Linked DNA regions of Coturnix japonica. Each later gene encodes a partner of the first gene's protein in a complex. Links are inferred from orthologs where the notes say so. Each region holds a gene or a part of one and is shown on either strand. Other genes may lie near its edges. The genes, in order: STRIP1 and PDCD10.

Region 1 (3,915 bases):
GCACCCTGCCCAGAACACAAGATTGGGCTGAAAACCAGAGGCTGGGATGAGCTACATTGCAATGCTCTTAGGGAAGGTTTGGTCTGCCATAACCACAGCCCACCTCCACCCATTCACTCTCCATAACAGGGAGCTGGGGCTCTTATACTGGGGTATAAAGCCAACACAGCAGCTCCTCGTGCAGAGCTCCATACCTCAGGTCTGTGCTGTCAGCCAGGGAGATGGCAGGTTTCCTCACTGCACTGCTGCACGCTGCACTGTTACTGCAGGGAGAGAACAGCTTCAGTGCTGCTCCTGAGGCATTTAACTCTACTATAAGCAATCCAAGTGTCAGAATCAAAGCCTGGAGTGAGCACTAATGCAACAAGTCCCCCATCAAGCAGAGGGGGAACGCAGCTGTTGCCAGACAGCACGGCTGTTAGAGATCTGCTGCGTGCATCCTGTGTGTCTACACATCCACACGCAGCAATGCCAGCCATTCGAGTAGGAATCAGAACAGGAATAGAACAGAAACAGGGCAGGGAACAACACAGCTGCCACCAGCTGGAGGAATCTCAGCACATAGCAGAGCCCCATAGCAGCTCCTGGAGCATCTCAGCCCATAGCAGAGCCCCATAGCGGCTCCTGGAGCATCTCAGCCCATAGCAGAGCCCCATAGCGGCTCCTGAAGCATCTCAGCCCATAGCAGAGCCCCATAGCGGCTCCTGGAGCATCTCAGCCCATAGCAGAGCCCCACAGCAGCTCCTGGAGGCATCTCAGCCCATAGCAGAGCCCCATAGCAGCTCCTGGAGATCTTCAGCCCATAGCAGAAGCCCCAAGCGGCTTTTTTTTTTTTTTTTGCCACCTTTTGGGAAACATCTCAGCCCATAGCAGAGCCCCATAGCGGCTCCTGGAGCATCTCAGCCCATAGCAGAGCCCCATAGCGGCTCCTGGAGCAGCTGCTCCCACCACTCACTCGATCTCCATGTTCAGCAGCTCCACCAGCGCGTTGAAGGTCCCCACTTCCAGCAGCAGGAAGATGTTGTACCTCATCCAGGCCTGGACATCAGCCTCGGAGCTGCACTCCCCAAACGTGCCTGTAACGACACCCTGAGTGGATGCAAAGCCCTTCTGTGCAGCCAATGTGCTTTGCAGATGGACAGAACGTCACATCTTTAATGCTAAAGCAGGAGGTGAAAAGCAAAGGACAGAGCTGCCCTCTTGCAGGGGCAGTTTAGACCACTCTCCTTCCTCTGACAACTGCTTCAGCTCCACTTGTATGAGATGAAATACAAAGCAAAGGCCTCCAGCTCAACGCCAGCACGTACCTTGTGCAACATACAGGATTGCTCTGGCCACCTTCAGCCTCTTCTCCCTGGCTGTGACCTCCAGCCCATCCAGCAGCCTCATGGCGTGGGTGCGATGCTGCTTCTTGTCCAGCTCCGTCCATTTCTTGTCCCGCACTGCAAAGCCAAAGCATTGATGTATATGGGATGGGGCTGAAGGGCTGCTTGACTTCACAACCTGATACACCCAGCCCTATTGGTGCCCCCAGCTCCAAGGGGGGGCTCTCACCGTGGATCCTGAAATCCTCCTCGAAGCATTTGCGGTTGAGCAGGAACTCGGGGCCTTCGGTGTAACTGTACAGCTCTGCCAAAGAGCACAGAGAACCGTCACCCTGCGACCCACGGGTTAATGGCTGCTCAATGTTAATGGCAAAGGAACAGCTGCTATGAAGTGACACAGCCCTTCTAATGTGAATGAGGTGTTTAAAGGCAACAAAGCGACGCTGGAGGGGACAGAACCGCTTCGGTCACGATCAGGGCATAGAACCCAATGCTGATTCATTGAGCTGTGAGGACGGGCCCCTTACCGGACAGCTCCGCCGCCCATTTATCGGTGTCTGCGTATTCAAACTCCAGGTCTGGGGACTCCGAGTAGCCCTGGGGGCAAAGAACGGGGCTCAATGAGGGGCTCAGTGACACAAACGGACCCAAACGGACCCAAACGGACCCAAACGGACCCAAACGGACCCAAACGGACCCAAACGAACCCCAACACCCCCCTCATTCCTGCAGCCCCACAGCAGCACCAACGTTTCCAATCCACCCCCCGGCCGTGCTGCCGCATTGGGCCGCAGGTTCCGCCCCCTGGAGCTGTTCACTCCATACAGGGCCGCAGTGGGATCGGGACGGAACCAGGCCGGGCCCACGGCACCGGAACCGGCCGGACCAGGCCCCGCCCCTCCCGGAACCGGCCCGGCTTAGGCCCCGCCCCTCCCGTCCGGCCTTCTCCCGCCCCGCGGAGCCGGGCCCGGTTCTGTCGGTTCCGGTTCTGACCTCGGAGTCCTTCCTCGGGGGTCGGCCCAACTCTCGGCCTTTCCCCGCCGGTCCCGCCCCGCTTCGGGCCTTGTTGTTGGCCGGGAGCGGCCCCGCCACAACGCCGCCCGGCTCCATGGCTCCACACAGCGAGATCTCGCGAGGACTCACCCCTCCTTCTCGCGGGAGCGGCAGGGAGAGCCGGGGTAGAGCCGCCGCCGCCATGTTGGGAGTGGCGCCGAGCTCCGGCCGTTCTCCTGCCTCCGCCATGACACCTCCCGCCGGTCCCGCCGTTCAGACGCTCAGGCCGCGGCACCGCCCAGCGCCGCCCGCCCCCGGTGGCCACGTCCGGTGCGGCGCCTCGACCGGAGGAGAAGCTCCGCCCCATCGCCGCCATGATAGGTGTGGCGCGCGCCATGTTGGGAGAGGCACTTCCGGCCATCACGTGACGCGACGGCTGGGGGCCGCCATGTTGGAAGTGGCAGGAAGTGGGGGGGGGATGGGGACCAAAGGGGGGTCCGGAATGACCTGATGTGACCCCGGAACCAGCTCAGAGCCCAAATAGGGGGAGCAGATCCCACCAGAGGGGCCCATATAACCCACAGGGGCCCATATAACCCATAGGGGCCCACATAACCCACAGGGGGCCATATAACCCACATGGGCCCACATAACCCATAGGGGGCCATATAATCCATAGGGGCCCACATAACCCATAGGGGCCCATATAACCCATAACCCACATGGGCCCACATAATCCATAGGGGCCCATATAACTCATATGAGCCCACATAACCCATAGGGGCCATATAATCCATATGGGTCCACATAACCCACAGGGGCCCACATAACACACAGGGGCCCATATAACCCACATGGGCCCACATAACCCACAGGGGGCCATATAACCCATATGGGTTATAACTAATCAGGTCAGATCTATGGGGCCCACATAACCCATATGGGCCCAAAGCCCCCATTACAGTGAATGAGGATCCAACCCCAACTACAGGCCTTGGAGGGGCTGGGGGGGGGGCTTGGAGGACCCCCACCCCCCTATGTGCCCCCATAGGCTGTAAGCACTCACCCACCGACCTGCCATGTTGGTCGTTTTATGCTCCTACTCGTTTTTTTTTGGTTTTTTGTTTTTTTTTTCATTAGACTTTTAATGATTTATTGCTCGTCTGCAAGGATTAATCATATTGCATTCGTTAAAAATCAGTCATATACAAAATAAACCTCTCTCTCTTTCTCTCTCTCTCTCCCTCCCAGCCTGACATTGCCTCCCCCCCCCTCCCAATACATGGCTTAGATGGAGCTGCAGCCCCCAGCTTGGGGTTAGAAAGACCCCCCCTGCCCACAGCCTATGAGGGCTGGGGGGACACAGCCCCATAAGAGACAGAGCAGAGGGCACAGGAAGGTGGGCAAAGCTGCCCCATCCATCCTCATATCATCCCCCCCATTGAGGGACAAGCAGCACCGCAGCCACATACAGAGCCATGGGAGCAGCCCCCATCCCTGGTTGCAGCTCTCTGGGTGGGGGTCCCATGTCAGCTCTGTAACAGGCAGTGGGGGAAGAAGCGAATCCCTCCCTGCCTTTGCTAAGGGAAGAAAGAGG
Region 2 (3,815 bases), on another chromosome or scaffold:
GCACTTGCTTACATTGTTTCAGGGTTTTAAACAACTAAGGAAGTATAGAGCAGATGACCATTAGATGTCTGTTCTTTCCCTAGCTGAACATTCCAACACCTGGTAATTTCAGAATTAGCAAATTCTTACTAAAACACTGAGCATGCAGGCACATGGAAGCAACTTCCTTCAGTTACCTCTGGTAACAAAGAAGCATGGGGTCACTGAGCTTTCCAACTCAATGATACCATTATGAGTGACCATGTTATTTAGTGCTCTTTCTTCCTCATGTCAACAGGTTATCTTATCTAGTGTGTTGTTCAAACAGATGTAAATTATTTTCTGTTCCACAAGGAACATAGATGTTACCTGGGATTTTCTGAAATACTGATAATACCTGAGGCACTGTAAAGCATATATCCACAACACACAGCATTCACTTCACATAGGGCTGAACAAAGCTGGTCTGTTTTTCAGCATGTATGGGGTAAGCACACAACACATACAATTCTTGGCCCCACTTTTTCAGTCAAATGGCTTTGTCTTTATTTTCCTCTAGTCACACCAATTAGGTAAACAAAACCTTTTCACTGTGTATAAGCTTAGTATAAAAAGACACTTACTTGCCATCTTTAAAATAGGTTTTCAGAGTATCGCTGAAACTTTTGGAGTATTTTACAAACTCTTTCTTTTGGTGCTCAAGTGCCTGCGGAAAAGAAAAAGCCAAGAAGTCTAAGTTGAGATGCTATTGTGTACATCACAATTAAAAATAAAAGAAAGCACACAAGGATTATGTAGATAAAAGAATGGGTTTACTGTGGTAATGGGTTGTTCTTTCCCTGTATGTTTTTTTAAAACCAATCTTCCTACGGAACTGCTGAGAATTACCAAACAGCCATGTTAAAACACTGACATTGACCAGTTATGCTCTTCTGTTCATCCTACAAAGAAAACAATATGCTTCCTCTTCTACTAGAGAAATACTGTATTAGGTTATTTCACATACCCTCCGGTTCTGGTATTGGTATTTCTTGAAGACATTATTTACTGTGTCAAGAAGTTCCTTTATTGCACTGGCGATGTCCCTGTTTGAAAATGAAAAGAATTGTAATATGCATAAGCTATTCAACTCAAACATAGAAATTTAATCCTTTTTTAATAGTAGCACAGAAAGAATTTCAAAGAAGACACAGAAATCAAATGCTAGGAAAGTGACATGGAACTTCAGCTGCTAATTACTGATTCAAATTACTATCTACTAACACAAGGATCTCTTAAATGTTCAGCTCTGTTCTTATTTCTATGTGTATGAGAAACTCTCCAAATGAGAACAATTTTACTAGTGCCTCCCACAGCATTTGAACATTCAGCTCCAAACATAAAGTTAGGCCCCTAAAACTCCATAAAAATATTAAATACTGTACTTACTTGATTGTTTGAAGAAACCTCACTCTGTCATTGATCTCATCTGGAATCTTACTAAGAATCTGTTTAAGTGCTCGCGCCTTTTCATTCAGATCTTGGAATTCTGGCTCTGGTCTTTCAATCATATATTCTAATAAGTTGGATATGTGAAAAAAATACCATTAGTTTTCCATCAAAAAGTTTCCAGTGACAGCTTAAATAAAACATTACTTCACAAAATGCACTAGCAACCATGATGGATCTCAAGATACTAACAGAAGCAGACCAACAATAACTTTCCTTACTGAAAAGTGAGGAAAGAATAGAGCCCAATTTTATTTCCAAAGAACACTGACAACATTACAATAACGAAATACAGTTTTAAAAGAACTTTAAGCTCTCCTGTCATCGTAACTGATGCTTTCAATTTGAAACAAACTGCAACAGGTGAACTTCCCACACAAACCATTCAAAGGATGCATTTTCTTCCTCTTAGTCAAGAACATGTCTGGGGAGTTGCAGTGGTAGGCTTTTTCTTTATTCTCTCCAAAATAGGTACTCAGAGAAAGAGCTATTGCTTCTATTGAATATGGTTGAAAAAGAATCTACTTAGTAAAAGTAAACCTCTTCTGAAAAATAGGCAGAGCAATGCATGCTCTTGTTTAGAGTACGATGAAGAACGCCCTTACACAACATGAGGCAAGATATTACCTTCTACATCATCTGCTGCCATACGTAGGAGGGACTCTGTAAAATTCACATCCACACTTTTTTTCTCCAGAATTTTCATAATAATGTCCTGTGTGAGGCCTGGATTTTCTTTTTCAGCCTGCATTGTAGGATAAATTACTCTAAAAAATGCTCTAGAAATGCAATCATAATATTGCAAGCACAAAAGCAGATTTTAATGCAAGTTGTTTTGTACACCAGTGTTTGCTAGAAGAATTTCCATTCTAATGCCTTTAAAAAAGCACTTTACACTGACAGCTGTTCTTCCAGTATATTTTTCTTGGGTTATATCAGCAGTTTTATATGAATGACTTTATCAATATGCCCTTCCCCTCATTACAAAATATTTCTTACTCAAATTGACAGAACCATCTCTATGCTGTTGTACTCCTGCAATGTAACATTAGCAGTATTCACAGTACCTGTGTTGCTATCACAAAAATAGGCTGTGCTGAACAAGAATGAGGGTGTGTGTGTTCTGAGCTAGGACTACCATTTCCAATAGGGTTAGTTTCCATGCTATTTGTATTCAGCTTAGCTCCTTAGGACTATCTGTATAGAACATTTAACTTGGAAGAGTTCTAATTGAGAGTTGTGTCTGCTCAGGTACACTTTAAGAGGAGAAACAGGAAAGCACTGCTTGGTTGCTACGCTCGATGTACCTTGCATGTATACTTATTATTGTTTCTGCTAAAAGAAGTCTAAAAGATAGCTACTGAATGGTACATAGTAAGTTACAAGAAATATTTCTTCAGTTTCCTGCTAGATTTAAGTAAATACAAACACCAAATACCAAACTTATATTTCATCCACAAAAAAAATTTCCCTAACTATTAATCTTTCCAAGCCTGATACATTCCTAGTACTTCTGAACACCTATTCTACATAATCTGGTCCCATTAACACTGGATTTGTTACCTCTATTTCCTGTTCCATCCTCACTGATTTATGCCACCTTTACGCTTTCATACCATGTACACAAGGTAGGATTGTTTAAAATTGTTTAATATACTTTTAAGTATATTCAGATTTCTAATATGTGCACACCTTCCAAACTTACAGCCCATGCAATTGTACACTCAGTTTTATTGAAAACTATTGATCATAAAGGATGCATTCTTCAAATACAATAATATAAAGAATTTAAGTTTCAACATATATTGTTTAACTGACCATCCTTCAATACAAATTATGTCTCACCTTAATAAAAGCTGCTCTCAGTGTCTGAGCTGCAGATAGATTTACTCTTTCTAGCTGCAAAAGAAGTTTAGAATTATTAGTAATTTCACTGTTAACAGAACAACTCAAGCACTCATGCACTGCCTTATGTGGCCCAGTGAAAAAGGGTATTGACAGAAGAACAAAGACTGATCTCATCTGAGGGACAGACAAGATGAAGTTTGATCCAAACAAACAGCACTCGCTATGCCTTGCTTTTATTCAGCTTGCAGCAGAAATCTGACAGAAGACTTTTGAGAACATCTTGACCTCTGATACTCGCAGAGAGACAAATATTCTATTCAATTACAGCCATTAGCAGTAGAAATGGAAATGTATGAGGCTGTTCACAGGTATGTGTTACACCATGCATCACTTCTAGTCACATAATGTACAGGTTCCTAATGCTGTGTCAGATCTGGGAACATTAGAGCTGAAACAGCTCCAAAAGCAGACTCCCAAAAATTGCTGTGTGCATTTACAGG

The links.
Region 2: STRIP1 (region 1) and PDCD10 share a complex: the UniProt entries of both Homo sapiens proteins name them as parts of the core of STRIPAK complex. The link is inferred for Coturnix japonica from reciprocal best matches to the Homo sapiens genes STRIP1 and PDCD10.

Annotation. Positions count from the first base shown.
Region 1 is NC_029541.1:1,698,048-1,701,962, reverse strand, and holds the start of STRIP1 (striatin-interacting protein 1), read right to left. Parts: upstream 2,463-3,915; 5' UTR 2,436-2,462; coding exon 2,319-2,435; intron 1,923-2,318; coding exon 1,853-1,922; intron 1,630-1,852; coding exon 1,555-1,629; intron 1,443-1,554; coding exon 1,308-1,442; intron 1,077-1,307; coding exon 956-1,076; intron 264-955; coding exon 195-263; intron 6-194; coding exon 1-5. UniProt on the Homo sapiens protein: Plays a role in the regulation of cell morphology and cytoskeletal organization. Required in the cortical actin filament dynamics and cell shape. Part of the striatin-interacting phosphatase and kinase (STRIPAK) complexes.
Region 2 is NC_029524.1:18,278,637-18,282,451, reverse strand, and holds part of PDCD10 (programmed cell death protein 10), read right to left. Parts: intron 3,367-3,815; coding exon 3,313-3,366; intron 2,213-3,312; coding exon 2,095-2,212; intron 1,535-2,094; coding exon 1,408-1,534; intron 1,065-1,407; coding exon 986-1,064; intron 686-985; coding exon 603-685; intron 1-602. UniProt on the Homo sapiens protein: Promotes cell proliferation. Modulates apoptotic pathways. Increases mitogen-activated protein kinase activity and STK26 activity. Important for cell migration, and for normal structure and assembly of the Golgi complex.